Caenorhabditis elegans: one gene and its partner. The main gene of each other region encodes a partner of the protein of the gene in region 2 in a complex. Each region holds a gene or a part of one and is shown on either strand. Other genes may lie near its edges.

Region 1 (15,963 bases), on a different chromosome or scaffold from region 2:
AGTTATTGTCAAAAATGTTTCGTTACATCAAGTTTTCAAGAAGTGTTCCTTCGGATTAACAATTAGTTACAAAGGCTGTTCCAATCGGCTCAACAATTTTTTCCAGAAGCCGCCTACACCGCCTGTTGTATTTCGTGAACGTGCATTCAGTTTCAGCAATGTCAGAAATTCGAGTGAAAGTGCTCTCAAATATGTAGACGATAATCGATTCAGTAAGACAACTCAGCCAACTATATATACAGTAATCATACACGAAACCACACGTACAATTGACACTTTGCACAATTTGGCAGATGCTATTCGGAGAGATCCATCGGTTTGTACTAATTTGCAAAATGAAAATTGAACCATTTCTTCAGATTCCGCGCCTGGACCTAGACGTCCACTATCTGACGGATATGTCAGCTCCCACATCATTCGACGAAAACTATCTTCGAACCTATACAAATGCACGTAGAAAATAGAACAACAAATGAATTGAATAAAGTCATTTTACAAATGTGTGCAAAAAATTGTAACAAATCAAAGGGATAAGAAAGAGAGATGTACGAACAATAACTAGCGAAACAATAAAAACCAATAATAATCAACAAAAAAAAACATCAAAAATGATAAAAACAATTTTAGTAAACGGGGGAGCATTTAGCAATTGAACAATGGGTCAAAAAGATTAAACAAAAGAAACAGGTAGAATGTGTGGCAACGGGGAAAGATGTTATGGGCTAGGCATTGTGAATGAAGTCTCTTTATGCTTCATCGTCAGGACGACGATTTCTTCGACGCAGAGCTGGATTGAGGGCGGTTGTACTGACACTGTTGATCTCCTCCTCTTCGGATCTGAAAAAAGGTTTTTGATTTCACTTTTGAACCAGAGATCAAAGTTTTGTTTTTTTTCAAATTCAAGAGTCTCTCTTTTTTCTATTAATTGCATTATGAAAACTTTCAAATCGAATAAATTTGAACTCACTGATATTCATCAGTATCACTACTACTGCTGCTACTGCTTTCTCCGTCATCGCCACCTTCTTCCTCTCTCCGTTCAGCCTCAGCTCCTCTAACAAGAGCCTCCATGAACGAAACTCGTTGCTCTTCAGCTCGGGCATTCAACATTTCAGCTTGCTCTAAACCACCTCCATTTCGACGACGATTACCTCCTCTAATTCCCATTCGAAGATCTCGGAGACCGCGGCCGAGGATGGCTCGACGAGCAGCAGCTGCTGCTTCTATTGGATCTACTGGACGCGCTGGGCGTTCGTTGTTGCCCTCATTTTCCACGACACGAGCTTCTTCTTCGTCGAGATCGTCTAGATTAATGTCTTCTGAGTCTGAAAATTCAAAGTAAAGATAAAAAGCGTCGATGTTTCCTCATTTTTAATTTTTCAAACATTTGCAAACAATATAATTTACCAATGGAATTAGTTGTTCTCCAACTTCCACTATCATCATCATCACCATCAGTTCCCAATTCATCTTCATCAACTTCTTCATCAACTGCATCTACCAAATCATCAATAGCCGCTCCCATATCAAAATCTGGATCCCCTTCTCCATCCTCATCATCATCTCCATCTTCATCACTTCCTTCATCAGAACCTGGAAGCTCTGCATCATTTTCACTACTGTTTAGGCGTTGACGACGGCGTTGAGCTTGACGTCTGATAATCCGATTCTGTGCATTTTCAAAGTCCAAATCGTCTAGTGTATCATTGTCATCCACGCTACTTCCACTGTCACTTTCATCGCCAAGCTGAAATCATTATAATTCGCAAAATTTTTTTCTCCAAATTACTGATATTACATAAAAGGTTAAATATTCTAAATATAGGTAAAAACTGTGTGATTGCCATTTTTTGACTGTACATAAAGAATTAAGATGAGTTTTTGACAAGTTGTTGTTGACATTTACTATGATATTTTATAATTTTATCACTGGTTCCTAGAGACAGGCAACATGCGTGAATTCTCTATATCTATACTTGTTACTGAAACTAAATGATATTGCAAATATCCAAAAAGAATGAAGCAAGACTTTCATGGAAGAAGAGGAAGAAGATGGAAAAACTAATTGAAAGCATAGTGCATATTCTCCGCCCAAAATTTGAAGAGTGATCAAAGCAAAATGATCACTCTCGAAGCAAAATGCAACGTTGCTCTATCTGGAACAAAAGCAAATTCCTCGGAGAAAATGTTTTCTTCAAGAACGAAAACGCTTCAAATGTGATCGATCTAGAAGAAATGAGACCAAAAGCAAATTCTAATCTGAAATCAATGAAACTCCAGAGAACACTGCTTTTGAAATCAAAGAATTACTGGTCTGAAAGCAAAAAAGATTCAGTTTCTTGAATTATCTGGTCAGACAAACACAATGTGTCTGACTGTTCGATCATTTAGTTTTTATTTTCTGCCGGATTAGTTCTAATTTATGTTCCGCTTCTGACTTCTTCTGACCAGGTTCTGCTTTTGATAAGAAAGTGACACACTACTCTCTGCTTCCTGTTAATCTGAAATGCTTTTCGTGAGATCTTTGCTTTTGTCTCGCTCAAAAGTGACTGATCACATTTGAAGCAGTTACATAATCAAAACAGAACTCTGTCAAAAGCATTATTTCTGTTGAAGAAAAGAAGAAAAAGCAGAAAGCAAAAGTGATCTTACATCAGTCAGAACACATCAAACACAGATGTGTTTGCTTTAAATGTGATCAGTCGCAAATAAAGCAATCATGAAGCAAAGATAATTTCTGCAGGTAAAGAATGTTCTGAAATCAGAAACTGGTGTGTCGCATTTCTTTCAAGATCAGAACGTGATCAGAAGACAATCAGAACGAACAGAACACATCAGTTGGAAGTTTTACTTGATGTGTCGCTTCTAAATGTGATAAACGTATTTGCAGAACAGAAATTCCACTGAAAAAAAGTGATGTTACATTTTTAGTGTGGTCATTCGGCACGGAAGAAAACATCAAGCAAAAGGAAACTGAACAAACAAACCAGGAAGAGAAGTGATGTTACTCTTTTTTCAATAGAACACTAAAACTCGTATACCCAAATAAAGTTAATATGGGATACTGTAGAAGTAGTTTAGAATTATTAGTTTCAAAAAAAAATTCCGTATGGATGTCGGACTACTGTAGGATTACTGTAGTTTTTAGTTAGTGAAATTTTTAATGTGTTTCAGTGCTGGGCGCGTAAATTAGTCCTACTGTAGGATTAATGTAGTGATCAACAAAAACATGGATTTTTTAAAGAAAGTTTTAAAAATTCAAAAAAAAGGTGCAGATGATTTTTTGGGTAGTTTCAGAAAAGATATTATGAAATTTTCTAAATTTTTCTAAATATGTTTACCCAAAACATTTAAATTTTTTTTCCAATTTTGAAGTTTGTTCAGAATGATAATTCCAATGTTCAAAGGAAAATGTGGAATGGTTTTTTTTTGTATTTTCCGACTGACCGTACTCCACCTTTGAGAAAATTTTGAAAAAAAAACTAAACTTACTCTTCCTAAAGTTCGAAACACGGATTCTCGATCTGAACTATTTCCTCCAATCTCTTCATCATCATCTCCATCTCCAGATTCATCCGAATCTTCGTCTTCATCGTGATCCTCTCTCTGTTCATCTTCCTCTTCGTCATTCTCATCTTCATTATCCTTCAATCGTCCAATTTCAACTATTTTCAGTTGTGTAGATGCTTGTATCATGTAATCCGACATTTGTGGACGCACTTTCTCAATCACACACATTTTCTGATCTTGATGTGATGCGCATAGATCAATGACAGGTCGTCGTCCTTCGAAAGTTGTCAGAGCAGAATAGTCACGGGTCTCGAACGTTCGGAATGACGAGAAGATCTTTTCATCATAGTCTGGACAATGAACGTCTGTAACTTCAGTGGCGTACATGATATTCTGAAAATGTTGAAATTATTAATATTTATAAAATACCATTAATTATAATAAAAACATACACCAGTGGAATTAAATGAAACTTGACAACGATTGAGCTCAGGAACATGGTGAAGCATCCGGAATGTACGAATATCATAAACTTCAGAATTTATAACAATCTGTGTTCCATGAGGATGGAATGTTCCGAATAATGTTATTTTGGAGAGACGATCAAATACATGGATCGCCTGAAATTTGATATTTTAAATTTAATTTAAAAGTCTTCTCCCTACCGAATTCTTCTTTCTGACATCCCAGAGAAGTCCATCATTGAAGATTAGCTTGTCATCAGGCGAAAACGAAGCGTAATTTTTCTCGTACTGTAGTCCATCTATTCCAGAGAGATACGTGTCCAAAACATGATTTGTTTCAGTGTCATAGACAGTTGCCTTATCTCTACACGTTCCGACAATTCTTTGCATCGTTGTGTTAGCAAATTTAACACAAGAATCTTCACGATAAGTATGAACTCGTTGTAAAGCTTCTCCGAGTCTCCAAAGAGCGGATAGTGGACGAGAGAATGCTGAAGACGTGAGCATCATTGAACCATCCTGGAATTTGGAAAACTTTTATTTATTTATTTCAGTTTTAGAAATAAATGTTTCAATTGTATAGAGAATATTTTTTGTAGCCATACCTTCGAAGGTTCAATATTCGTCAGAGCACTTCCATGGCAATTGGTGTGTCCTTCATCCAATCCAGTATCCACGTTTATCCAATGAACTTCTCCATTGAATAAACCAACGATAAGATGTTCATCGTCGACCTAAATTATTTTATTAAACAATTTTTTTCAATTTTGATTTTAAATTTTTCCTTTATGAAATTTTAGAATTACTCTTTGAAAAATACATTGGAGAGCGACAATTAATTTCGGTAATTCTAAAAAATTAGTTACCTATTGTGTCATGCTGTTTCAAAATTTGTTATTGAAAATAAGTGTCAAAATAGAGAAAATCAGTTAGTTCATTTGAAAATAAAATTTATTTCAGTTGAAATATCTGAGTAAATGCACAAAAATGGTCTAAAAGTCGCTAAATGCCTAAAAACGAAGCTCGATAATTTGTAATTTGCATCTTTCAGGTAATTTTTAACTAAATTTTCAAATGTTTCAACTAAAATAAATTTTATTTATACATATAAATCGATTTTCTTTTTTTTTAAACTATTTTCTAATAGAAGCTGTTGGAACAACATGTTGTAACATGTCATTTTATAGAATTGGAGAAAATAACCACATCTGATTTATATATTTCTCACCGAAAATGTGGCTTTCGTATACGATTCATCGTGATCATGTATAGTTTTCCAGTTCCTGAATCTTGAGAAAATAGTTCTTTCATTTGTCCACTGTGAATAAACTCTTTCATGAGGTCTAAGAAGTTCTTGATCGAGTGTTCGAAGAGAAATATTTCTCACAACATTCGTTTGATACGACAATTCGGGACATTTGTGTTGGTAAAATAATGAAAATGGAGGACACGTTGTCACTGGATTCTTACATGTTGAATGTTGGTTTCTGAAAAATGAAAATGAATTCGAAGAATAATTAATAATTCTGAAACCTGAAATAATCAGTAACAATACTGTTTAGATCTTTAATTGGTCGATATCCACTTGAACTTTCTCCTGGAGTCAGAGGTCTCAGTTTTTGACGTGCAGGACTGATCATCAACTTCTTTGGAAAAGCACCACTGGTTGTATATCCTTAATATAAAATTTAGTTGAATCTTCAAATGAAATCTCACTTCTAGGTAAAGTTGGTGTGGCGAAAACATCGTCATCTGTTGAATGAGAACGTGTAGCCATTGCGGGAGATGACAGTGAAGCTGCGTTTGAGGGCCGTCTTGCTGAAATTCCACCAATTTCCGATTCAAGCGTCCTTGGAGCCAATGTTGGATAAGTGTCGTTTATTTTTGAAAAATTATTTCCGCTGCTGGGCTGAAAAAAGGTTGGAAAATGATTGTTTTTCTGTCACGATTCAATTCTCACAATAAATATTAACTTACCAATGGCTTATTGAGAATCGGAGTATTGATTGACCGACTTGCTGGACGATCAGGAAGCTTTGCTTCAGATTTCAGCATTGCTGCTACTGAATCTAACTTGCTTTTCAACAAGTGATCATGAATTAATTGAAGAAGTTCTGCTTGATTGAAGCTCACTTGTGTATTTTCGATGACCCATTGACGGTGACTCTTTTCCTGAAAACCCTCATTTATTTATATAAGAACGTTGTTAAAGAATTAGAAAAAACCGAACCGACGATTGAATTTCTTTTCCTTGTTGATCATGAATTTTTCTTCCATAAATGACCTGAAGAAGTTGAACTGCTTCTTTGCAGAATGCTGCATGAATATCTCGCTTGTCAGAACACACTGGTTCTCGCATTAAATCTGAAAAAAAAAGAATTAAACTTGATTTTTTGAAATCTGTGGAGATTTTTCGTTGTTCGCTTTTTTAGTTTTTTTGGCAAAAAATTAGTTGTTCATCTTTTTTATTCAAAAAAATACACTCAACATTATAGCAATATGGTAATTCCGATAAACATTTTCGTTTTTTAATAATAATAAGATCCTTTTTGGCATTTTTGGCTTCGAAAAAAATTCGAATTCAGCCCTACACATCCCCAGGGCTGAAGAATTTTTTTTTGAGCGAAAATGTATTTTTGGTAATGTTCGAAAGAAGGTTAGCAAAAAATTCGAAATATTTTGTTAGCCTGGCGCTGACAGAAAAACTTGTTAATTATTATATTTCCACTCAAAAAAAATACTCGAACTTATAAAACATGGCAATTTCGATCAACAGTTCTCTTTTTTAACGTTTTTTTGTGTTTTTGAAAAACATGTAATTTCTTTGCATGTTTCGTTAAAACTAACTCTGTAGTCCATTATGAGCTATCAACGGTAATTTTGCAAGAATCTGTCGAACTTCCGGATGCCTTGCCAGTCCCGTTAATGTGTTAGTTGCCGTTTTTCGGATAGAATCCGCTTCTGTCAGTGGAATTTTGCAGTTAATCAAGTTGACGAGTGCCATAATTCCATCAGTTTTTCGAACTTCTGTCCACATTCGTTCAAGATGATTCATGATTATTTCATATTTCGATTGTCTTTTCGACGCGGAGCTTGACTTTTCCTCTGAACTTTTGACTCTTTGAATAATAGCTTTCCAGCATTCTGGTTCCACATAAACACAACGTTGAATACATCCCAATGCTGCCATTCTCAGAGATGGATCCTCATCGTATCGTCCAAGAGATGTTTGAAGAAGAATTGTGAAACCATCATAATTCGAGTGATTATAGGAATGTTGAGTGATAAGTTCAGTTTGAATTGATGGAAGGCAAAACATCATGCACAATGTTTCCAATGCGTGTACACACATTTCGGTGCGGAGACTGCAACAAAATTATCTCATTTATTCAGAAAGGGAGTAGAGTTTTTATTTCGGATTTTTTTTTGAAAGTTTCATTAGGGAATTAGGTCACTTCGGGGAAGTAATTAGCCTATTCCGAAACCGTTAATTTCAAAAAGTTACCTTGGAGAAATGTTTTCCCAATCTCTTGATAACACTCTAACCGCCAAAAACATTCGAACCATTCCTAGTTTTCTTAAATTTTCAGCCTCTCTGAATGAACTTCCGGTGAATCGAAGCATTTCCGTAACAATGGCTTCGCACTGCCAACAAACTTCTTCATACGGCTTCATGCTCTGAAATAAATTTTTATAAAATCAATGATATCTTAATAAATACATACTTTATAATCTGGACAATCTCCTTGTACAAGTTCTGGAAATCGCATTCCAGTTGGTAAGTTATTTCCGTATAGCTTTTTATAGTTTTCCACTTTGATGAAAATGTGAGCGGTGAGGTAACTAAAATGATTTAAAATTAGTTAAAAATAATTTTTATCATGTAGAAAACCTTCTGAAAGTGGTACAAACTCCTCTTGTACACTGTGTACTTGTATGTATTTGTTCTTCGGTGAGTTCGACATCTTCATTGTTTTGCATTAGTGTCAGGGTTGCAATCTGAATTACAATATGAGTTATGGTTGTATTATTTATTCACTTTTTTGAAACTTATGAGAAACATACATAATTATGCAGCTTCCGTGGACCATCATATTGATCAAATCTTCTTAAAATAGCCTTGTAGAACAATCCTTGAGAAAAGAACATACATGCACTGGCCATTCCACTTTCATGACTGTGTTCCAAGCACCACAGAACATACCTTAAAAAATAATTTAGTCTTCATAAAGAAAATTTGGTTCGCATTTCAAAAAATGTATTTATAAGTTTAATTTTTAATTTAACAAGTAACTTTACACATCAATCCGAAGACTATGACTTCTCAAAAATTGTTTGGAGTACGAAATATGTTCATATACAAAGAAAAAGGACGAGCCCATGTTTCATGTGGCATGATCACCTGAATGATTTCTGTGATTTAATGCATTTTCTCTTCTTTAGGCTATAGGAGTATTATATTTTCAATTATTAGGTTTATTGTTATTCAAAAAAAACTTGAGGTTGTAAATGTTCAATATACATTTCACTCACTGTACAGTCTCATCCACAATCTCATCGCTCATTTGACATAAAATCTCCATGACATCATTACTGTATGCAATGTAATACAGACATGTAACAACTCCAACTGAAGCCAATGATGTTTTTGGAACTTTCAAAAGAGCCGGTATTCCTCCTTTGTTGACGAATTCCAAGGCGAATTTACGATGTACCAATAGAGAAGTGAGATATTTTAAAGCATCAAAGGTTAAACGGACATCTTTTGATTTTTCGAGATCAATGTAGTCGAACAAGATTTCCAATGCATTTCCTTCAAAAGTTTGAAGGAGGAGCTGAAAATATTTAATATATCTTATCAAGAACTATTGAAATATCACAAAACAATTTAAATTGAAAAATTAATATAAAAATATATAACTAACATCCTGATATTCTCCACATGCAGCCAAATATTGTAGAATAAACCGTTGATATGTAGCTAAACTAAGTGGATATACTTGTTGATCTCCAATTAGAAATGGTTGAAGAATATCCCATTTACTGTTTGAATCATCCAAATTTCGAAGATTATGAAATGATGGAACTCGCTGAGTAATTTCCGTTCGAAGAAGAGATGTCAGGCAAGGCTGAAAATGATTCTGATTGTGAAAAAAGATACAAAAATTTGCAGAGAAAATGACTGAAATCTACCTCAGTTCTTCGCTTTTTCGGTGGTGGTGGATCTGTTGATTGTACAAAGGTTTTCTCATTCTCTTTTGTAGAACCATCAACAGAAGTGATTTTGATTGAAGGAATTGAAGTTCCGTTACTTGTACTTTGTTCAGCATGCAGTTGGGAGAAACTAAAAAAAATAATAATTTGATAAATATAATAATTTGATAAATACAATTTGATAAATACTATTAATAGTTGAAAAAACTCACTCAGTCTGTCCAATTTTCTTCTGTTCTTCCAAAGAGCGACCCTGAAATAATTATAATAACATTTTCAAGACCTATTTAATACTTTAAAAATTCATACCTGTAATTCATGGAGTCGCCGAAGTCCAAATGGGACTAATAGAGCATTTTCATTTCGATATTTACTCGCATTTTCAGTATTTTCCAATGCAGCAGCTAGAAGTCCCATTGCATAACCTTGTAAAGTCTCATTTGTTCCTTCTGATCCTGCCCATGTGTATAGGCGAGGAATGAAATCGTCTGGTTCTGAGAAAACTACTTTTGAATCGAGACCAGGAATACAGGCTAACAGAAGTCGACTTCCTTGAATATTCAATTCTACGTTGTCTCTGGCAAGAATATACGACACAACAAGCTGAAATAAAAATACATTGATATGAATTAACTATCTATTTATTCCCTCACTTTTGTCATGAAATCATCGTTTTTGAATATAATTTTCAAAATGTTGCCGAGTGCAGAATCTGGATGAGTCCTGTGAGGATGACGATCATCCAAAGGATCCGGGTCGTTTTTAATGAAAATGTCTGTAGCTTGTTCCAACAATTCAGAAATTCTGAAATGATTTATTTAATTTATGAATAATTGTTCTCTATTCTTAACCTTTTAAGTATCGGTATCGGATCAAACGACGATTGTTCATGATTTGCATCAAACTCCAATAGTAATTCAGCTATTCGAAGCATTAATTGCGTGCTCAGCTTCAAATCTTGATCGGATATCATCATCATTGTTCCTGTCGATCGGAGCGGATAAATCTCCTTGCTCGTCATGACGGCTGAAAATACTTAATTGATTTTGTGATTTTTTAACGCAAAATAATCAATTTAAAATTATGCAACAAGAAATTGGATTTGCAATTCAATCTCCAAAAGAAAAATAACATTTTTGTTGAAATGTCGAAAATCCGAAATTAGTCGAATATGTGAAGAAGGGTACGGTACGCAACGGTGTTTGCGGACCAGTCCAACGACGACGACAACTTGCGTACAGCTTGTGATTTATTTTTATTTTATTTTATTTGCGAAATACTTTTTTATCATTTTTAAGAATATAATAGGTTGTTAGAAAATTATTTGTTGTAATTAGAAACAATTGTTCAAATTGATTTGCGAAAAAAAATTATCGCCCAACCTCTCTCGCCCCTTGTTTCACTTTATAATTTCCTTTTTTTTTGCAATAAACTAATGAATTTTTTCTGGGTAACACAACAATGTCAGTTTTCCACGACGAAGTCGAAATTGAGGATTTTGAGTTTGACGAGGAGAAAGACGTGTACCACTATCCATGCCCTTGTGGCGATCGATTTGAAATCCCTAGGTAAGTTTTGAATACTGTAAAAAATCAAACCGTTCTGCAAAGTAGTTCTCATGTTTAAAACAATTGTCATTTTCGAAAATCTCTAATTGTTAGAAATCTCGAATTAATTGTAAGTGGCTCAACTCGGGTATTTTAATTCATGCTTGAAATCGGATTTTATTTCAATCTATTTATCTTACTTCCTAGTTGAAAAATCATATTTCCATTGTAATAAAAAGCTATTTATTCCGTATATAGTCCAACTTCACTTTTTTTTCAGAGAAATGCTTGAAATGGGAGAAGATGTAGCACAATGTCCCAGCTGCTCCCTTCTCATTCGTGTTATCTACGATCCTGAAGATTTCGTCAAACTGGAGACCATCTCGACAAGCAAGCCAATCGCGGAACCCGTCTAAATATTTTTAATTTTTGTGAATATTAGTTATTAGAGTTTCTGTGAAATTCTTTTTCTTCCGTGATTTATTGATACGGGTTTCGCGAGTAAATCTTCCGTGATATGTTGTTCCGAATTAGCATTCCAGAAAAGTTGAAATTTACAGAAGTGAAAAAAAACCGCAATTTTTCTTGAAGACAAATAATGTTGAATTTGGAAAGACACAGCTTTAGACCATATCAATTTGCTGAATCACACTAATAGTATTTATAAAAAGAGCTTTTAGGTTTAAAATGATTGTGACTATGTGACGAAACGGCCAAGAGGAGATAAGAGGATCTCTCTAGAAAAAGGAAGCTTGAGGATTTTGTTTGCAAAATGATGCGATTCTAACTAGAACTCAGTTGATTCATTGAAGTTACCTTGTTAAATTGCATGAGAATGTTCGATACTGAAAATGCTAAAGAAAAATATTTTCTGAATGAAGAGATTGAGACGCTGTGTTTAGTTTGTTGAGTAACAAATAGAAGATTTCAATTAAAATAATTTTACTAAAATTACAAAAACAATTCAAGACTTTAAATGAACTTCTGGATTTCATCGTAGATGGCCAGAACGAGTGCTCCACCAGTTCCACGGAACACATTCGACAGAGCTCCCTTGAACATGGCAGACATTCCTTCGTTTTTGATGATCTTGACAGCACAATCCAAGGTATTCTTGTAGAGAACATCTTTGCGACCAGACTGCATCATCATGCGACGGCGAACAGTATCCCATGGATAGGAAATGATTCCAGATCCGACGGTGACGACTTGAGCAATAGCCCAGGCGGCGAAGAAGTTGAGTTTCTTGCCATCAGCAGTGAATACCATCTTGGCAGTGTCGAACATTCCGAAGTAAGCGGCACGGTAGATGATGATACCTTGTACAGAAACAAAGAATCCTCTGAAAATTAATGTTTGCTTATATTATAAAAATGGAAAAAATACCTGTAGAGTCCGATTGGACCATCCGATTTTGCAATCTTGACGAGACAATCAGCCAGACCTTTGAATTCACGTTCATTAGCTTTTCCGACGTCAGCAGCCAAGCGGGTACGAGCGAAATCCAATGGGTAGACGAAGCAGAGAGAAGTTGCTCCGGCAGCTCCACCAGAAGCGAGATTCCCGGCGAAGAACTTCCAAAAATCCTTCTTCTTGTCCAATCCCTTTTGGAAAATGTTTTTGTATGTATCCTTGAATGCGAAGTTCAGCGCCTGGGTTGGGAAGTATCGGATGACATTGGCCAAGTTTCCTCTCCAGAGAGCAGCATATCCTTGCTCTTTCGGGACACGAACGAGGACATCGACGATTCCTTTGTAACGTTTATCGGCGGCGATAGTTAGGGAAGCATCCTGTACTTGCAAAAGAAGCTTGACACGTTCAATCGGAGCCACAGCAGTCTTGGAGACAGCGGCAGCAGTTCCTCCCGAGGCGAGATCAATCAAGAATTTTCGGGTATCGAAACCTTTCTTATCCTCCTTCTTCTTTTCAATAGGCTTTGAATCTCCTCCTGAAAGAATACAAATATTAAATTAAAACCAGAAATATCGATTAAGATTTACTTACCTCCAGTCATGCTTGCAGTAGTGCTGCTGGATATCCAAGCGGTTGAAAACCGGAACTGATTCTAAAGTGAGCCCTTCGATTAAAAATCGACAGTGAAACGTGGCAAAAGCGCTTCTTTAACCGAGGTCACGTGAATAATGCAAAATGCTACTCCAAAACTCATATTTCTGTTTTTCACGTTCTCGTAAATATATTTTCACGTTTTTAAACATATTTTTAAAAGCATAAAAGATTATTTAAAAATATTCTTTTTTTTTAATATCGCGTATAAATTGCTTGATTTCACTGTGAAAGTGTTCTAAAAGAAAAAGAAACAGAAAAATCAAAGAATTCCGCAACGGAGCGGGTTACTGTAGCATTCAAACGCGCACTCTTTCCTTGCTCGAAATTTAGACCCACGGGTTTGAAAAATTTTGTTCATGTGGAATCGAGGTGAAAATCCCAAAATTAGCGGAAAGAAATTATTTTTGTTTTCATTTGAATATGTGAATTATTTTCGGATGCACCTCTTTTAATTGCGAAGTCATCAATAAGTTGAGCATTCTAATGATATTTTCAACATGAAACAGGTGACAAAACACTGTTATCATACAAAAATAGATTAACTTCCTTCTTCTAGCCTTATCCTCTTAAAACATATGTTTATCGTTTCGTCACATAATCGCAATCATTTTAAACCAAAAAGCTTCTTCATACTAGACAACTTCATTAGTATGAATCAGCATCTGGTACGTATTGGGTCCAAATCTGTGTGTCATTCCAGTTTTAAAAAGTATTTTAAAACCTTCTTCACTCATCTTCAATCTGAAAACCCCTCCCAAAAAGCTTATCAGATGGAGATAAGAAGAGGAGGAGGCAACTGAACCTTGTTATCCAAGATTATCAGATGTAGTATAAAAATTTGTAGACTTATCTATTTCACTTCGAACTTTGAGCAAAATAAAGCAAATTTGAGCTTCTAAGTTATTGAGGTGACCTTACATGAGTCTATACTGTTCAAGCTTTGATAATCAGTGTTACTGGATGATGGATGACAGTCAAGTAGTGTGGAACAGGTAGGTCTATGTGTTTTTATCAGAAATTGGAATTAGGATTTTGTTTGAGTTTTGTAATAGTTTTAGTTATTTTCAGTGGTTATTCCACAAGGAAAAGCGTCGATGAAAAGAGAAATGAAAATATAATTAGAAAAATAACACAAATATGTATGTTTAGATGGTTTTAATATCGAATAGTTTTATGATATTTTTTTTGCAAAGTGATATTATATTTCCAACAATATGACATTGATTACAAGCTGATTGCAATAAAATCTGGAAAGAGCATCAGTTTCAAAAATTTACATTTGAAAAAAAGGTTTAATTCAATTTTAAAATGGGTCAAAAAGCCTGCCGGTTTGCAAACTTAGCCATGTAGGCAGGCTCTCACGGCTGAATCCAGTTGCTTTTGTTCACTCTATAACATATCTGTTCAATCTAATTCTCACATTCTATTCTTCATTTTACTCGGTATTTGCTTTAAAAATACACAAAAAAGAATTAAAATAGATTTTCAAAATCTCCACCTTCTAACCCTCAATTCATAATTTAATTCCAGCTCAGCACCTCAAGAGATGATCTGCTCAATTTGCTCGGATAAAGCCGAAGGATATCATTTTGGAGCAATAAGCTGTGCTGCATGTGGTGCATTCTTCCGACGCAGTGTTTCTGATCAAAAAGTATACTCATGTTCTAATAGACAATGTAGTATTGTACACGGTAATCTAAAGTTGAACAAAATATAAATGTAACAAAAAGAATTAAAGATCCAACAAAGAGAGGTGGAAGCTGCAGATTCTGCAGATTTTTGAAGTGTGTGAGCAGTGGAATGATGCCTCAAGGTAATTTATATATTCAAAATAATATCAAATTTTCAAATTTCCAGACGTAAAAGCCAAAAGAACTTCTTCATCACAACAAAATGTCACGTCTCTTTACCGAAATATGAATCAAAGTTCCATTCTACTAATCGATCAAATTATTGCTTTTCGCAGAAGTATTGCAGCTGAAAGGCCGATTTTCGATTTGGTACGTAGAGATTTGAAAGAATTGAGATTTTAAGGGTAAATAAGAGCTTAACTCATATTTACTAAGATTATGGAATAATCTTGAATAAATAACGGTTTATTCAATATTTGAAAAATCTGTTGTAAGTAGAATAAATCTAGGTATTCTCTTCTTCTCTCTACATTAATTTAAATTTTTCAATTAATTTCAGATTTCCCGATCAACAACTCGTACAAACTTGAAAATTTCTCTCCACCAAGAATACGAAATTATGCGAAGAATATCAACTGGATCTCCCTTGATCATGCAAGTTATCGAACATTTTTACGCACACTTTGGGAGCTTGGATAATAATTTCATGGTAATAATTTTCAACTAACTAATATGAAAATTAACTTTACAGAGCGACCCACTCGGTGACATATTCCTATTGGTTTTTGTCTTTGAAGCATGTGTTTTGACTGCTACAAAAGGTGGAATCCAACTAGATAGACTGTTTCTGCCAAATATGGTTTGTTTTATTAAAACAAAGACATAATTAAAAAATATATATCTTAGGTCCATATTGATTTGAGTGAGCAACCATTTTTGGAGTTTATGGAGTGTGAGCAACATGTCAATTTGAACCCATACAGGTATTATAACTTAATTCTGAAATAACTAAAAATGTGATATTTCCAGAAACATTCTGAATTCATTTAGTTTCCTTGTTCAATTGGTATCACGATCGTTTCAATCATGCAATTTCGATGAACCACTTTTATCCATTTTATTCTATAAATGCATAACGGAAGCAGTTCCAATCAATTTTCGACATTGTTTTGCTGATGTGAATCGGGATAGTCTTTTGACAGATTTGAACAGAGGTAACAATTTCTAAAAATATTTCAAACTAATTCAACAATTTATTTTCAGTAGATCCTGTTTCATTTGAACAAATCCAGAACACATCTGCCCAAATTCATCAAGGAACTCGGGCGTTCAAAGATGCAATCTCAAGCATTTTATAACTTGAATAAATCGATTTTTTTGAAGAAATGTTTCTAAAAATTAAACAGCTGATATGAACTTCTCAAAACTAAATTTGTACTTCTCAAAAGTAAATTTGTAAATAAAATTGTTTGATATCTTATATTTTGAAAATTCTGCACGATTGTTAGAATAACATCACTAAATTATAAT
Region 2 (16,445 bases):
CTCTCGTGTCAACTTTCTTGAATAAGGATCATACTGGAATGCTTCAATTTCTGGATTATGAATCATAATTGATTCGAGATGAAATCGTCCATCTCCAAGATAGACAATTGCATCGTATTTCGATGCATCCAATCGTGGAGACGTACATCCCAGAACTTCTCCAGGTGATAATGGTTTACATTGTGGAATATCAATGCGAATTGAGCTGTCATCTTTGTTGAATGTGGTTCGAAGGGTTTGAAGTGAAGGGATGAATTGAACAGTACTCACGACGACAAGACGTTTTCCCTGAAAATTTGAGATTTGAAGAAGGAAAAGAATTGGTTGTAAATTGGGTGTCGGTTTTCAATTTTAATCGAAAATTTTAGTTTTTCCGATTTTTTGAAAAAATTTCGGGAACCCTTTACTTTTTCTATTTTTTAAAAAGCAATTTTTCGTTCTTTCGACATTTAGAAAAATATATTAACAATGAACTAGTGGCCGCCAAACCTCTAAAACGATCGTGTGTCGATTTACGCAACTCGTGTACTCCACGAGGAGAAGAATTTTAGTTTTCGGCAAAAATTCAAGAATTACAGTTATTTTAGCCAGTTTTCTTGTATTATTATTAATAAAATAATACATGACTGTATTTTATCTAAAAACTGCTAATGTGTTGCATATTTATAGTGTTTTAGATGAAAATTTCCGTTTTCACGGTTGAATAGCTACCGATTTTCAATTCCTATAGATTTTCAACAGTGACAATATTGATTTAAATATAAAACACTGAACAATTTTCAAAAAATTGACGAAAATGGCCCAAAATCATGCATTTCAGCCGTCCAAAAAGCGTAAAATTCTCCTCGAGGAGTACACGGGCTGCGTAAATCGACAAAGGACCGTGTTAGGGGTTTCCAACGGCCATTGTTTCTATTCCTTATGTACCTGAAAATTCTCCTTCACACAATCGATCAAATGTGATAGATTAATGTGAATATTCACAAACACATAAAGCATCGCAATACCATCAGTATTCTGAATCGGTACGAGACAACTGTGCCCATAATGAACTAATAGATCACATCCCATTGATTTTGCAGTGTAATCGTCGACGCAGCAGGCTCCATAGGTGACGTCACCCATGATTACTGTATCACAGCCAGTGTACTTTTCCAGAATATCGGCAATTACGCAGGCATACATAATGAGTCCTTCTGGAAATTGGAGTGCAACGTATTTGCTCTCGGTCGATCGAATTTTCCATATCGTTTTTGGAACTTCGAATGTGTAATTTGAGGGGAGCTGAAACGTTATCATTCGTTGAATATTATAGAAACGCAGAAAAAAAACCCTTTTGAAATCCACGTGGAAACGGGCTAACGATGGGTCTCGTTAGGTTTTTGGCGGCAAAACTGGATGTTCAAAAGTTTTCAGTTAGTTTCCCCGATTTTCAAGCATTTTTCGTTGTTTTTAATGATTTTTATGCCGAGATTTATGAAAAAATTTATTTTTTGACATCAAATCATTAAAACCAATTGAAAATGCTTTGAAATCGGGCAAGAATAATTGAAAAATTCGATTTTCGGTTTCTTAACCTAAAGAGACCCATAGTTCAGGGGTGGGGCGTTTACTTAGAAAATCTGCGATTTCTTACAATTTTCAGATCTTCTTTAAGATTGGGATTATTTGCAATTTCCTCAACTAGCGTCGAAATCTGTGTAGCCCGAGTTGCCATTCTAAAATTTTCAGCCTCAATCCAGAAAAATAAAATTAAATCTGAAAATCAAATAGAATATCGAAATAAAACGAATCAATTGAATGATCATCTCAATCATCCCACGGAAATTAATATTTATGGATTTTTATATTAGGAAGAATATATAAGGAATGACAGAAAATACGAAGTTTCAGAAAAAAAAGTGTCTGGCCACCGCGCCTCTATAATCAAGGAATATAGGAGATCAAGAAGGAAAAGCATATATACACGGTGACCAAGGGGTAAATATAAATCAAATTTTCGAAATTTTAATTAAATTTAAACAATTTAAACATCCGAGCGCCATATATGAATCTTGTTGTCTGGCTCGAGAGCTCCTGAGGCAATGATGTTCTGAACTGGATGACAATCGGAGGCTAGCACGGGTTCTGAAATGGAAAAAATTTAAATTTGCATTTTTATTTTATTTTTCGACTTACGTGTGTGTCCTTCAAGACATTGAACTATTTCCCGAGTCTGGAGATTCCAGATGTAGATCTTACAATCTTCGGAACCACTGATGATCCATTTTCCACCGGTAACAGAGAAGTTGGCGAAGATGCAATATTTGCTATTCTCGTGTCCAGTGTATTGTTTCAGGGTTTTTCCTTTCGAGAAATCCCACAATTTCAAAGTGCTGTCGAGGTTCGATGCGAGGATGTATTTTCCGTTTGGAGAGAACTTTACAAATGCCACCGGAGGATTCTCGTCGTCGACCAGAGTCTTGATGCATTGCCCATTGGCAGTGTCCCAGATACGAACTAGACCATCGTAGGATCCCGATGCGATGAGGCTGCCGTCTCTGTTGAAAGACACTGCTGACACTGGATCTGAGTGTGCTGGGAGGGTTTTTATGCACATTCCTGTCTTGACATCCCAGATACGAACGGATTCATCGAATGATCCGGAGACAACGAGCGATGATTGTGGGTTGAAATTGCAGCAGAAGACGTAGTTATTGTGTCCTTTCAAGGTTTTGGTCATTCTCGACGTTACAATTTCGAAGATTTTCAGTGTTTTGTCGTCGGAAGCAGAGACAACACAACGGCTGTCGGAACTCCATGCTATATCGTTTACACCCAGTTTGTGGCCGGTGAGCTGAAAATTTAAGGATTAATTGTAATTTTCATGAGCGGAAACATACAGTTCGCTCACAAATCATGTGATCCATGTTCCAGATTTTGACGGTTTTGTCCGCGCTGCTTGTTCCGAGATACTTTCCACATGGGGAAAATTTAGCTGAAGAAATCGATTTTGTGTGTCCTTCCAATGTACACATCAGCTTATAATTTGCTGAACCCGAGGCTGAAGCTCCGGCGGCGTTTGGATTGGGAGTTTGGGCACTGGCACCTGGAGCGGGTGTGCCAGTCGGATTTGATGGCGAAATTGAATTGGGAGAAGTCTGGAAATTGACTATTGTGAAGTCTTATTCAAAAATATACTATTTAACAATAACGAAACCTACAGATGGAGCAGGAGCTGAAGAACCTCCATCCGGAGCATTTGGTACTGTTAATTGATCGATTTGTTGTGTTGGCTGTTGCTCGGCAGCTGAAGCAGCATTTTCGCTGGTATCCATATCTGAAATCACAGCAAAAATCAAAAATTAAGTTGAAAAATGAAGAAATTCATTCAAAAAATATAAAATAGAAATCGTCGTAAGATGCAATGTGCGGTACGCAGAGGCAAGGGTGCATGCACAGCGAACACACAATTTGACGCGCAATGTTTTTGCAGTTTTTTTTTCGGAATTTCTTTTTTTTCGTTAATGAACTCATGTCATGACATGTATCCGTGTCTGATACGTGTTAAAATATTTATATATTCATTCGATTACAGATATAACAAACTTTTCCAGTCATACAAACACTTTATAAAACAGTTAAGCGAAAAATTGTCGGTGCATTATTTAATCTTCCTCGTCTTCATCTTCATGACGAGCCACAGCGGGAGGAATTCCATACATGTGACGACCACGACGAAAGAGTGGCATTCTAAAAACTCCGACTCTTGGCGGTACTTCATCATCGTCATCATCCTCGTCTTCAGCGTTAGGATTCTCGTCTTCATTGCATTTTTCGGAATCAACAGCGAGTGGTTTAACTATTGGCTCATCAGGCAGAATAACTTCGACTTGAATATTGGCAACTTTTGGTCCGTAGAATCCTCTCCAAAATTGTCTATCTTCACCTTCATTCAGAATAGTTAAATGTCGAATTCCAGACGGGTAATCGTCAAACTCAATTGTCCAATCTTCCCAAGGTTGACCAGTCCATTGAGCCCATTCCTTATTTACAGATTTATATCTTTTATGATCAGTGTTGCTCATAGTTTGTACATGGCCAAATCTTTCAATCCACTGAGTCTCGTGATAGTTCAACTGAGCAGCAAATGAGAGCCTGGCTGCACAATCATTACGATGATTGACTTTCTGTGTAATTCTAATTCTCGGGCGAACGTGATCCAAGATCCATGGGTCAATTCCAGAGTTCACCAAATCGATGAAAACACTGATTGAGCTCTCTGTGAATGAAAATACGAAGCACTTGGAAACATCCGGATGTGGTTCACAACCGTTTCCTCCATCTCTTTCCATGTGGATTCTGAAATTGTAAATATTGATTATTTTAAGAACAAAGTATTGACATACCCACTGCCATTCGCTCTGATTGAAAAATCATCTGAACGGAGAGTTCCACTTATTGTGTTGTCACGTGCATTTTCAAAATGAGAAATGAAAAGCGGAGTGATTGGTGAGTAGCCTCTTCCAGACAGAACCTGAAGTAAAACTTTGTAATTTTATTACTATAAAATGCGATAACCTACTATTTTTTTAATATTAAAATTAAAACTTGAAGTGTCAATTTCATTGTCTTCATTTCCAACAAACTTCTTCTGTGTCGCTGCTCTTCTCCACTCCAAAGATGGAAGAACATTTGATATATTTAAAATTCGAGCATATTCAATCCAAAACGAGTCACTTGATATCAAATCATTGAATCGATGGCAAGCCAATTGGCAGTTTAGAAGTGATTTTTTGTCCAGCCTTCGGAAAATTGGCGAGAAACATTCGTTCGGCACAGTTTCTGCATCTCTGAAATAATTCTAGGTGAAAAATTGATATTTTAATTAAGAAAAAACTCACATTATCACTGGAACATCGGTTTTGAACTGTAGACTTTGCATTATCGATGAGAACGCTTTAAACATTTGGGGTCGATGAGAACAATATTTTTCGATTTTAAAGAGAAGAAATGAGTCAGAAGGAGAGAGACGCAGAGAATGGAAGTCTTGCGAAATGCGCATGCATGTGATATTCGTGTTCCAAAAAACTATCACGCTGTTAATATTATTATTTTAAAGCAAAAATATTAATAAGAAAATATTCAATGCTATTTTGAGAATGAGAAAAAAACTTTCTGACAAAAATATTGAGAACCTCTAGATATTCAACTTCTTTATATATTTTATTTTTTTCCTCATCTTGCTGACTGCAACTTTTTAGATTAGTTGATATATATTTGTCTTTCTCTTCTCTTAGTTTTACAGGTTACGAAACATTGATGATCTTCCTTATCCAAAGATACGTGGACAGCAAGAAATAACTTGTCCCACTTTCTAGGTTATCGCCGCCAATACCAAGGTCAAGCAATTCATGTTCTTCAGATTTGTGTTTCTAAAAAGGAAAAAAAAACGAATAACCGTGTTTATGAAGAAATACTCGTGCAATAGGAACCTGTCAAATTGGAATAGATTAGTGATGCTATTTACAAAAATTTTGAACATGAATTAGAACTAGTGATTATCATCAAATTCCGTGGATAAATCACTGCGGAGATCAGGGTTCGGAATGGCGATTTGCTCATCCTCTCGGACTTCCAAAGCCATCTCGAAATCTTCATCTTGAACGGGACCTCTTGGAATCTCTCTTGTTGCAATACTGGTCAATGGGACATTATAGTCGGGGGAATCGTAGGCAACGTGTGAACTGAAGGTGTTCCGTTTCTTGCGCTCAGTTTTTCCTTCGCTCAGTGACATGAGTGCCTAAAAATTCAATTATCTAGCTTTAATCTTTAGTGTAATCATTTTTTACCAGCTTAATCGTGATGAAAACGTAAATCAGAGCAACGAGAATGATGTTGAGATAGACTGCAAACCAAATCCTTGTCGCCTCATCCTTCTTCAGATTTGTCATCAAGCCGTCCGACGATCTGCGCGACGTGGCCTAAAAACGGTTGTGTCAATATGACCCCTCCCACCGTCGATGTTATATACTTACTGTACTCTTTCCGAAAAGACCTGTCACAGAGTCAAACATTCCTCTTGTTTTCTCAGCTGCCGTATTCAACCACGACGGCACCTCCACGCGTTGACCGAACAATTCGATACTATTATCCTTTAATATTTATGTGTTTTGATATATCCTCATTTTGAGCCCACCTTCGAACGTAATCCTTCTGCCATCGAGTCTTCAGTCTGGTTTCTCACATAGAAACATTGAATTGAAACAACCAGCAACAGGATTAGTGGGATTTTCATAGCGGAAACCTGAATATAATGTAATATGTATGTGACAAAATCACGAAAGAAAAAAGAATTTCCAAAAAAAAATGAAATTAGAAATCATTGAAACAAGTATTTGATTGTCCACTCGGACTACACTGTATACAGCGCTTCGAGACCATATCTTTAAATCCGGTGCGTCTTTAAAAGAGTGATTATTTGACCCAGTTTTTAAAGTCATTTTTTGAGCTAATTTTAGTTCCAAAAACAACTTTTTTGATAAACTTGCCCATTCCGAATAAATTTTTTGGGTTCAGAATAATTTTAAGTTGAAGATAAGCATAATTATATTCGAATAGACTCTCATTTCCGGGCCGTCGACGTTCCTTTAGCATTGTAGTTGCACAAACTTTCAGTTCGATGTGTTTTGTTCATTTTCTCACTGTTTTAAGGTTTAGAACACAATTAATTTTCCATTAAATGCGCGAACTCTCATCTCAATAAGTCATAAAGGTCGCCACGGTGACGTCCACGTGGACATCTCCCGTACACGCGTATGCTGACGTGTCAATACTGCACTGTCCATTCGTCTTGCAGTTTCGCGGTCCTCGTTGTCTCTGCCGGGGCGTTCACGGTCTCTTCTCTTTCTCTCGTTACTCTGTTTTACAACGTGCGCTTATTCTCCTTCTCTTCTCGTCGCTCGCACTCTTCCTAGCAGGTTGTGAACGACGAGGATTTTTTAAAAGAAAAATTGACTGCGTTTGTCAATACTCATACCCTACTTTTTTGATCGCAAAGTAATGGCTAACGTATTGTTTGCACACTTATCGTTGTCTATACCTCTTTTCTCTTCAATGATAACTTCCTCAAATTTTCTATTACTATTTTTTTAAATTTTCAGGTAATTATGTCACTGTCAGTGTCCTTTATCTTCCTCCTGGTCGCATCAATCGGAGCAGTTGTTGCTGACAGCGAAAACGTGCTTGTTCTCACTGAAGTATAACATTTATTCTGATCATTATCTTCTAAAAAACTGTTTTCAGAGCAATTTCGAAGAAACTATCAATGGAAATGAGTTTGTTCTAGTCAAATTCTATGCTCCATGGTGTGTACATTGCAAGTCTCTTGCTCCAAAGTACGACGAAGCCGCCGATTTGCTGAAGGAGGAAGGATCCGATATCAAGCTCGCCAAGGTTGACGCCACCGAAAACCAAGCTCTTGCATCCAAGTTCGAGGTCCGTGGATATCCAACTATCCTCTACTTCAAGAGTGGAAAGCCAACGAAATACACCGGAGGACGCGCCACCGCTCAAATTGTCGATTGGGTCAAGAAGAAGAGTGGACCAACTGTTACCACTGTTGAGTCAGTTGAGCAACTCGAGGAATTGAAGGGAAAGACCAGAGTTGTTGTTCTTGGATACTTCAAGGTATTTTTTTACATAAAAAGTACAACCTATTTAATTTATTTATTTTTCAGGACGCGAAATCTGATGCTGCTACCATCTACAACGAAGTTGCTGATTCTGTCGATGACGCATTCTTCGCCGTTGCCGGTTCTGCTGAGGTTGCTGCTGCCGCATCTTTGAATGAAGATGGAGTCGCTCTTATCCGCACTGATGGAGACGACAGCGAGACTAGCACAATTGCTGAAGCTGAAATCACCAACACCATCGCTCTTAAGCAATGGCTCCACGCTTACAAGCTCTCTGCCGTGACCGAGTTCACCCACGAATCTGCTCAAGAAATCGTCGGAGGAGACCTCAAAAAGTTCCACTTTTTGATCATCCGCAAGTCAGACTCTTCTTTCGATGAGACTATTGCCAAGTTCACTGAGGTCGCTAAGAAGTTCCGTGCTAAGATCGTCTTTGTTCTTCTCGACGTTGATGTTGAAGAGAACGCAAGAATTCTCGAGTTCCTCGGAGTCGATGCCAAGAACACCCCAGCCAACAGAATTGTCAGCCTTGCCGATCAAGTTGAGAAGTTCAAGCCACAAGAAGGAGAAGATTTCGAAGCTTTCACCAACTCATATTTGGAAGGAAAGTCTGCTCAAGACTTGAAGGCTCAAGATCTTCCAGAAGATTGGAATGCACTCCCAGTTAAGGTTCTCGTCGCCTCCAACTTCAACGAAATTGCCCTTGATGAAACCAAGACTGTCTTCGTCAAATTCTACGCCCCATGGTGCGGACATTGCAAGCAACTGGTTCCAGTTTGGGATGAGCTTGCTGAGAAGTACGAGTCCAACCCAAATGTTGTCATTGCAAAGCTTGATGCTACTCTCAACGAGGTAAGAATTTTGAAAGTATCAATATTCATAATTATTATTTCCATTTTCAGCTTGCCGACGTCAAGGTCAACTCTTTCCCAACCCTGAAGCTGTGGCCAGCCGGATCTTCTACCCCAGTCGACTATGATGGAGACAGAAACCTCGAGAAGTTCGAAGAATTTGTCAACAAGTATGCTGGATCTGCTTCCGAATCTGAAACCGCATCTCAGGATCACGAAGAGCTTTAAATTAATAATATATATGTTATTTATTGTTTGAAGTCACGGCGTTGAATTGTGATTACTCGTTTTTTTTTGTTTCCATCCGTATATATTATATATATAAAACCCTAAAAATTGAATCCCGGAGAATGTTTTTTGTTTCGTTGAGGCTTCTGTGAAATTATATTTCTTTATTTCGGAATTTAAAATTTCGAATCGAAACCAAAACCATTTTCAGGCTGCGAATGGCCGCTGAAAAAAGAGTGTTCCTAGATATTTCAGTCGATGAGAATCTGATTGGAAGAATTGAAATACGACTTTTTGTCGAAGATGGTTAGAAATCTGCCCAGAAAATTAATTTAAAAAAAATCAATTATTTTTCAGCACCTAAAACATGTGAAAACTTTCGAGCATTGTGCACAGGAGAAGTCGGAATGACTCCAAATAATAAAGCACGGCTTCATTACAAACAAAACGAATTTCATAGAATTGTAAAGAAGTTTATGATCCAGGTCCGGCGGTTTTTAGCTGAAATTTTTGAAAAATTGACGATTTAGGGAGGAGACATCACAGAAGGAGATGGTAGAGGAGGATTCTCGATCTACGGACGATACTTTGACGATGAAAAGTTCAAATTAAAGCACTCAAGGCCCTATTTGTTGTCAATGGCCAATAAAGGACCAAATTCAAATTCTTCTCAATTTTTCATCACAACGGCTGCAGCTCCACATTGCAATGGAAAACATGTTGTTTTTGGAGAGGTGCATAATGGATTTTAAAGAATATATTAATTTTATAATTATAAAATCATGATTTCACGAGATTCTAACATAAAGGCGCAGAGATTTATTCAGATGGGTCTCGGCGCGAAAGACAGTTTATGGTAGTCATTTTTGAAGTTTTGCGTCTGTTTTCACTTTGTTAAAAATTGTTTTTCAGTTTTAAAATAAAAAGTAATGTTTTGTTCATAAAATCATTTTTACAGGGAAAACCGATTTAAAACGATTTCAAAATAACAGAAAAATGAACAAAAAAACCAACTACTATAAATTTTTAGCACGCCGAGACCCATCTCTTTAAAGCCGTGCGCCTTTAAGTCAAAATCTGTTGAAATTACGATACTTTTATACTTTAATGTTAAAATAAATTGAATTCCAGGTTGTCAAAGGACAAAACGTTGTAGATTACATCGACAATCTTGCGGTTGATGATAAATCGAAACCACTCGCAAAAGTTTTGATCTCCAATTGTGGAGAACTCGTGAAAAAGAAGAAACCATTGAAGACAGATGAAGAGCTCGCCGCTGCTCTCGAAGAGAAAAATAATAACGCAAGGGACAATGAGATCCCGAAATGCCCGAAATCTTGGCTCTATCGTGATGATGACAATGAGAAGAAGCATGAAATGAGAAATGATAAGAGAAGAGAGTATCGATCGAGAAGATCAAGATCTAGATCTCATGAGAAGAATCGCGACTATAAGGTTTATTTTGTAATGAAAAATTCGGTTCCAGGTCTCGCCACGAAAAGAACCAAATATTTTCGAATCAATCGATCAAGAATTGAATTTCGCTGATTTTTCGATTTTTAATGGAAAAAATTTGCAAAAAAAAAAGTTTACTTGATTGGAGAAATCTAATTTTTAGCATCTTCCTGTCATTTCTCCATTTTCCACCAAAATTAATTCCCGATTTTTTGAAACTATTTTAAAGTTAAATTTCTTAATTTCTTAAACTAGATTTTTTCAGAAAGAAAATCGAGGAGATTCTTCGCGAAGCCAACCTCGCAGAGATGAAAACGGAATTACTGTACGTGGGCGTGGAGGAGTACGCTTCCGACGCGAAAGATCTGCGACTCCGGAGCACTGGAGAAGAAATGCGCCGACGGTATTTTAAATCTGAATAATTATAATTTTTAAATTGAATTTTTGTTTCAGAAATGGGTTCACGACAGCCACAAACATCCAGAAGAAGATCTCGTTTAAATCTTTTTTTTAAAATTAATTTAATTAATTCGTTGTTTTTATTTCCAGCTCGGTGCAATACAAATTTTTTAGTTTATTATTTTTATAAATAGAAGAAGAAACAACGGAAAACACGCATTTCTTGTGGCAGTCTTCCGGTTTCTCTTCTCAGATTTGTACCTGACACGGATACCTTTGATCTCTCTCTCTCTCACCTCACTCGTTGAATAATTTGTGAGAACCTGGCATATTCTTTTGTCGGGGGCTCAGAGACAACTCCTCCTACTCGAGAAGCTTCGAAAAGAGAGAACAAAGACTAAAAAATCGTTATGCTTGATTTGATTCCGGTACTCCCACTGGTTTTGTTTGGAGTTTCTTTATTTTTTTCGAAAATTGGTTGAACTTTTTTTTTCAACTTTCTTACAAAAAATATTTTTTGAGTTTAGAAAACTAAAAAAAAGGTTTTTTTCTGTTTTCAGGTACGTTTTCTGGAAATTTCTAGCGTTATTCTTGGCCTCACGGCCTCCACCACGAGAAATGCGCACACTCTCTCGCTTTTTGTTTGCGCGTTTGCGGACGACCACCTTGCCTCGCCGCCGCTTTCAACAGATATTCATGAAATTGAGCTAGAATCGCTATTTTTGAACGAAATTTTGAATTTTTTTCACAGAAATAGTGAAGTTGATAAAATGGGAAGGCGGAACTTACAATAAATAGTTAATACGAGCTGTTTTTCAGTGGTTTTTAGCAAGAATTAGATGGAATTAGAAGAATTATGGACAGAAGAGCACTTTTTTAGATTGAAAATTGTTAAATATGATACGATGAGTGTATTTGAACGGTTTAAATAAAGAAAATATGTACGACTGTGGCTTCGGGTTGATTCTCGCTCTTCTCGTGGTGAAGTGTATGTACTTTATGGACTTTGAACAGCTACAACTTTTTTCGCGTTGGAGATAGAAACTAGCGGTGAACTGACAAAATGAACATCACAAATAGGTGAACATTTCTTAGTTGACAATTTTTTGATATCTCGTTCCACTAAAAAGATACAGCTATGATTTGATGAATGAAGTCCCAGTTACAGTACCCTCTCTTAAAACCATCAAATCTCTGTCCTCGCTGAAGATACAAAAATATTTTCAACTGAGAAAATGTTAAGCAGATAAAAAACAACATTTACCAGCAAAAACTACATTTCTATCTACAAAAATAATGGAGATTTTGACTTTTGAAAAGTGATCATCTTAAACCGGCCATATCAAAAAATCCTAAACATTAAAATTGGTTTTTTTATTGGGAAAATACTCTATATAAGATATCTAACACATTTGCAGTTGACTACTTTCTTCTAAAGTCTTTATTTTTTGAGTTATGAACTGATCTCTGATTTTCTCATAAGTACGACTTTTGGGGTCTATATTATCTGTCTTACTAGTTAGAAAAATATTGTCAACAGAAAAAATGTTCACAATGTCAAACTGAACATTTTGTTAGTTGACAACTTTTTTGTAACTTTCATAGAAGCGGAGATAGGAGCATCCAAAGTGTGAGGGCGCAGTAGAGCGGGTACTGTAGTCGCCACCCAACCTTCTAGATCAAAAAACATATTTTCAACATTGACCAATTTTTATGTGTGATATGTCAATTTGTGCGTATTAAAAATTATTACAATCGTATTTTTTCCGATTTTTCAGTCCAAGCCAAGAATTTCCTGAAAATTGCGAAAAACCTGAAAATTTGGTCATTTTAGTACTGTAGTCAATCTTCTAGATCAAAAAACATATTTTCAACATTGACCAATTTTCATGTGTGATATGTCAAAATGTGCGTATTAAAAATTAGAACAATCGTATTTTTTCCGATTTTTGAAATCTTTCATTTTACGGTCACTAGCTTCCGGAAAGTGCTGAAATTTTGAGCTGTAAATGTTTGATGTCAAAAAAAGTTTCTCTCATAACTTATTTATTGGGGTTTTTTTGTATTAACTCATTAATTGGGAATATATTGAATACATTTTACAAAAAAAATTTGGGAAAAAATCTTAAACTTGCTCGTTTTAGAGGGGAATGTGTAATATTATGTTCACTCTCTTCACTTATTTCAATGACAAAACTATTCTGTGAAATTTATGCCAGACTGTAGAGGACAGTACTCTGCATCCGTTCCAATTGTTTCTTTTCAGAAATATGCATTTTCCTTTCTTCCCGACTCCTTCTAAGTGAGGTGGTTGAGCGCGCACTCTCGCCATGCTGTGGAGGTGAGAGACGCAGAGACCGCCTTTTTCTCTGCGCTCTCTCTGCGCATTTCTCGTGGTGGAGGCCGTGTGGCCTAAAGCCTAGGAATGGCCGCGAGAAGAAAAAAAACTCGGCCACCATTATTTTCACGGCTATGTTCCAAAATCCTCTTTCTGTGACATAAAAAACTATAGATATTATACATATTGTAGAGACGCAGAAAACTGAAACAAAGTGCAGACGCGCTCCACGGACAAATGAAAATGCTCCGGCTACCGTAATTTGGGTCTCGTTGGGTATTGGCGGTAAAGTCGTTAGTTTGAATTTTTTCAATGGTTTTCACCGGTTTTCTAGCATTTTTGAACATTTATTCCCGTTTTTCATACAAAAATTATTGAAAAGAGAACTTTTTCTACATTAATTTTCAATAATTCACTTTGGCTTTGAAATCGGTGAAAATAATTGAAAAAGTCTGAATTTACGGTTTTGCCGCCAATACCTAACGAGACCCAGCTGTTGTGGGAGGAGCGTTTTCATTTTGCCTTGGAGCGCTTTTGCGCTTAGATTAGTTGTTTGAGTCGCTAATGTAATATTAGAAATATCTGAAATCAAAGCACAAAAAATAATATTGAAAATCGGATTAAACTAACAAAACACATGAGAAGTAGGCGGCCTTTTTCGGCAAGTGTTGCGACTATTGGTCTCGACACGATCGAAATATTCTTACATCAGTTTTAGCAAAAAAAAAACGCATTTCACGACAAATGTCTGAAAAAGCGTGCATGAAATCGAATAAAAATCAATTTTTTTGCCTCGTTTTCAGGAATTAAAGTGGAAGCCTCTCAATTAAATCTCAAAACTGAGTCCATTGCTCTCTAGACTCCCGCTTTTCCTCGAATCCTCCCCCGAGCACTTGTTTTTTTTTCAGACTGAACTATCAAGGTTCCTCTTCTTTCCCCTCAAGACTTGTTTCTCTATATCATTCTTGAGTGTTTTTCAGCAGTTTTTTTCAGCTTTTTCTGATTCGATAGCACCTTCTTGGCGCAATAATCTCATTGTTGACATCCGGCTCTCGCGCCTTTTTCCTGTTTTTTTTTTCTCTCGAACAGCTCTTGGTGCATCATTTGGTGTTTCACTTGAGAAATATGGCAAGGTGGGTGGATTTTTTGTTGTTGCGAACTTCAATTAATCTCAAAATAGTGAAAAATGAATTTTTCATGTAAAACTAGTTATTTTTTTCAAGGATATGTAATGTTTCTTACGCTTTTAATTATTATGCAGACCCGAAATTTTGCGATTTTTGCACGAAAAATATGGTCGGTCTCGACACGACAAAATTGTGTTATACATATCTAGAAAGGGATGTGCGCCTGTAAAGAATACTGTACTCTCCAAATTTCTTTTGTTGCTGCCGAATTCTTATCGATTTTTAAAATTTTTTTAAAATGTATTTTTGATTGTTTTATTCTGCTTGGTTTTCAATAAACAAATATACTTTCTTAAATAAAAATCTATTCAAACTGGAACTACAGTACTCTTTAAAGGCGCAAACCTTTTTTCATTTAACAATTTTGTCTTGTCGAGACCGGGTGTCGTATTTTTCGTCTGGGTAATACGAACGCTGTGTTTTCTTGGCTTGAAAACAGAATTAAAACAGAATTTAAAAATCCTTTCCTTGAACTAAATAATCCCATTTTCCTTCTTTTCACAAGGACTACAGTACTCCAAATTTGCACCTGACCCGATCTAATTTCCAGTAATAAACCAGATTGTGAGAACTCCAATTGCAAAAATAAAATTAAACAAGTGGTCTCTGAATTTATATCCGTTTATGCTTTTGAAATCTAATTTTCTTCTCAATTTCACTCGCAGATTTTTTATGTTTTTTGCATGGACTTTGTGTTTCAAGATTGTTATTTTAAAAGGTAACATACTTTTTAAAAACTAATAAAAAATTCATTAAGATGTTAGCCATACGCGAAACTTTGAGATTTTTTTAAGAGCTGAATTTAAAAAAAATTTAAAAAATTATATTTCAAATAAACTAAAAACATAATTAAATATCATTTTTGCAGTAGTATAGTTCTAAAAAAGAATTTCAGTTTTGACAAAAATACACATTTGACACCGCCCCTCCTCCAAAAAATTTAAAAAAAATTTCCCCCGATTTTTCCTTATACCGTATATTCTCTATTAGTGCTGCATGTAGCACTAATTTCCAGGCCCTTTTTAAATGAAGCACTATTAGAGACTGCAGTACTACTGGAGACTGCAGCATTAATTTTCGAACGGCTATTTTCAATTATAGATCACTAGTTTTTAGTCACAAAAGCTCTTTTTTTTAAGCAGAAATTCATAAAAATTGCGAACTTTTGTAACAAAAAGACCCAATAATTCAATTAATTTCGTAAATTATCAAAAAATCATCAAAAATATACAAAAAAAATACCCAAAAATATCGAAACAGTCAAGTGACTCTTTCAATAGAAAATGGGGTGCAGCACTAATAGAGACTGCAGCACTATTTTTTGGACCCTTTTTGAATGCAGCACTATTAGAGACTGCAGTACTACTGGAGATGCAGCACTAATAGAAAATATACGGTATATCTCGTCCATCTTTAATGATATCAAAAATTTGGCAACTACAAAAATGTAGAATACAATTTTTTACATAACTTCGCAGTTCAAATTGTTTTGCTATCATCTAGCTGAAACCTTAAAATTTATGTTTTACCATCACTCTTCAAAATTGGAAAACGTTTTCCAGAATGTTCCGAGTGTGTCGCATAAAATTACATTAACTCTCCCTTTTCTGTCTCTCTTTCAACATTTAAATTTGCACGATTAAAAGAAGATTCCACCGGAAGATGTGTGATCATTTTAGAGTCCAGAAGATTGGCTCTTTTCAATTTTTGAACCAAATGTTTGTGTTACATTTTTTTAAATTCTGAATTAGAATATTTTAGAAAACTATTGAAGCGATGAAATTTAATTCCAGAATTTCTTTGTTTTTGTCCATTGGAACTCATCAAAAATGAATGTGGACAAGAAACATTTTTTTTTGGGAACAAACACGTCAAGCCTCCCACTGATTTTTTTCAGAACTTTTTGAAAAATAAATTTCTGAAGTGAGATATTATGGGTGGAGTCTAAATGGGCTTTATTTTCGCTTCAAGACCTGTTCAAAAATTAATTTATTACCTTTAAAAATTGATCAAATAATTTTTGGCACTATTTCCTTCCAAATTCCTACTTTGACTATTTTTCCAAAAATTCAATTTTCAATTTTTTTTCCCAAAATCTTAGGCGCGAAATTTAAATTTATATTTTTACATAGATATCTAGATTACCATTAGATTAGATTAAATAGATGTGCAAAATTAAAAAATAGAATTTATTTTTTGAACAATTTGGCGCGAATTTAAAAATTCGGATATTTTCCAACAAGTTTTGGTTCCAAATTAAAATTTTTGTTGAAAAATTATCGTGAAATTTAAATTCCGCGTATAAAAATAGCTT

The links.
Region 1: dph-1 (region 2) and dph-3 share a complex: the UniProt entries of both Caenorhabditis elegans proteins name them as parts of the 2-(3-amino-3-carboxypropyl)histidine synthase complex.

The regions. Positions count from the first base shown.
Region 1 is NC_003282.8:9,696,510-9,712,472, forward strand, and holds dph-3 (Diphthamide biosynthesis protein 3), read left to right. Parts: upstream 1-10,637; 5' UTR 10,638-10,649; coding exon 10,650-10,756; intron 10,757-11,015; coding exon 11,016-11,151; 3' UTR 11,152-11,255; downstream 11,256-15,963. Other genes in the region: twk-9 (Potassium channel domain-containing protein), read left to right, coding at 107-316, 360-464; dcaf-1 (DDB1- and CUL4-associated factor homolog 1), read right to left, coding at 747-837, 968-1,325, 1,408-1,747, 3,493-3,903, 3,963-4,130, 4,176-4,493, 4,580-4,708, 5,203-5,461 and 16 more; ant-1.3 (ADP/ATP translocase), read right to left, coding at 11,708-12,077, 12,122-12,683, 12,740-12,749; nhr-38 (Nuclear receptor domain-containing protein), read left to right, coding at 13,721-13,794, 14,333-14,493, 14,541-14,615, 14,660-14,802, 14,993-15,142, 15,185-15,292, 15,340-15,416, 15,463-15,647 and 1 more. UniProt on the Caenorhabditis elegans protein: Required for the first step of diphthamide biosynthesis, a post-translational modification of histidine which occurs in elongation factor 2.
Region 2 is NC_003281.10:3,692,159-3,708,603, reverse strand, and holds the start of dph-1 (2-(3-amino-3-carboxypropyl)histidine synthase subunit 1), read right to left. Parts: upstream 1,719-16,445; 5' UTR 1,718-1,718; coding exon 1,637-1,717; intron 1,285-1,636; coding exon 928-1,284; intron 289-927; coding exon 1-288. Other genes in the region: WD repeat-containing protein wdr-5.1, read right to left, coding at 2,027-2,127, 2,179-2,836, 2,883-3,140, 3,204-3,317; C14B1.3 (F-box domain-containing protein), read right to left, coding at 3,648-4,341, 4,389-4,516, 4,565-4,832, 4,884-4,948; C14B1.2 (Conserved plasma membrane protein), read right to left, coding at 5,534-5,782, 5,832-5,963, 6,018-6,134, 6,179-6,277; pdi-1 (Protein disulfide-isomerase 1), read left to right, coding at 7,149-7,238, 7,285-7,668, 7,719-8,525, 8,576-8,752; cyn-9 (Peptidyl-prolyl cis-trans isomerase 9), read left to right, coding at 8,971-9,058, 9,110-9,237, 9,283-9,486, 9,884-10,207, 10,473-10,610, 10,661-10,708. UniProt on the Caenorhabditis elegans protein: Catalyzes the first step of diphthamide biosynthesis, a post-translational modification of histidine which occurs in elongation factor 2.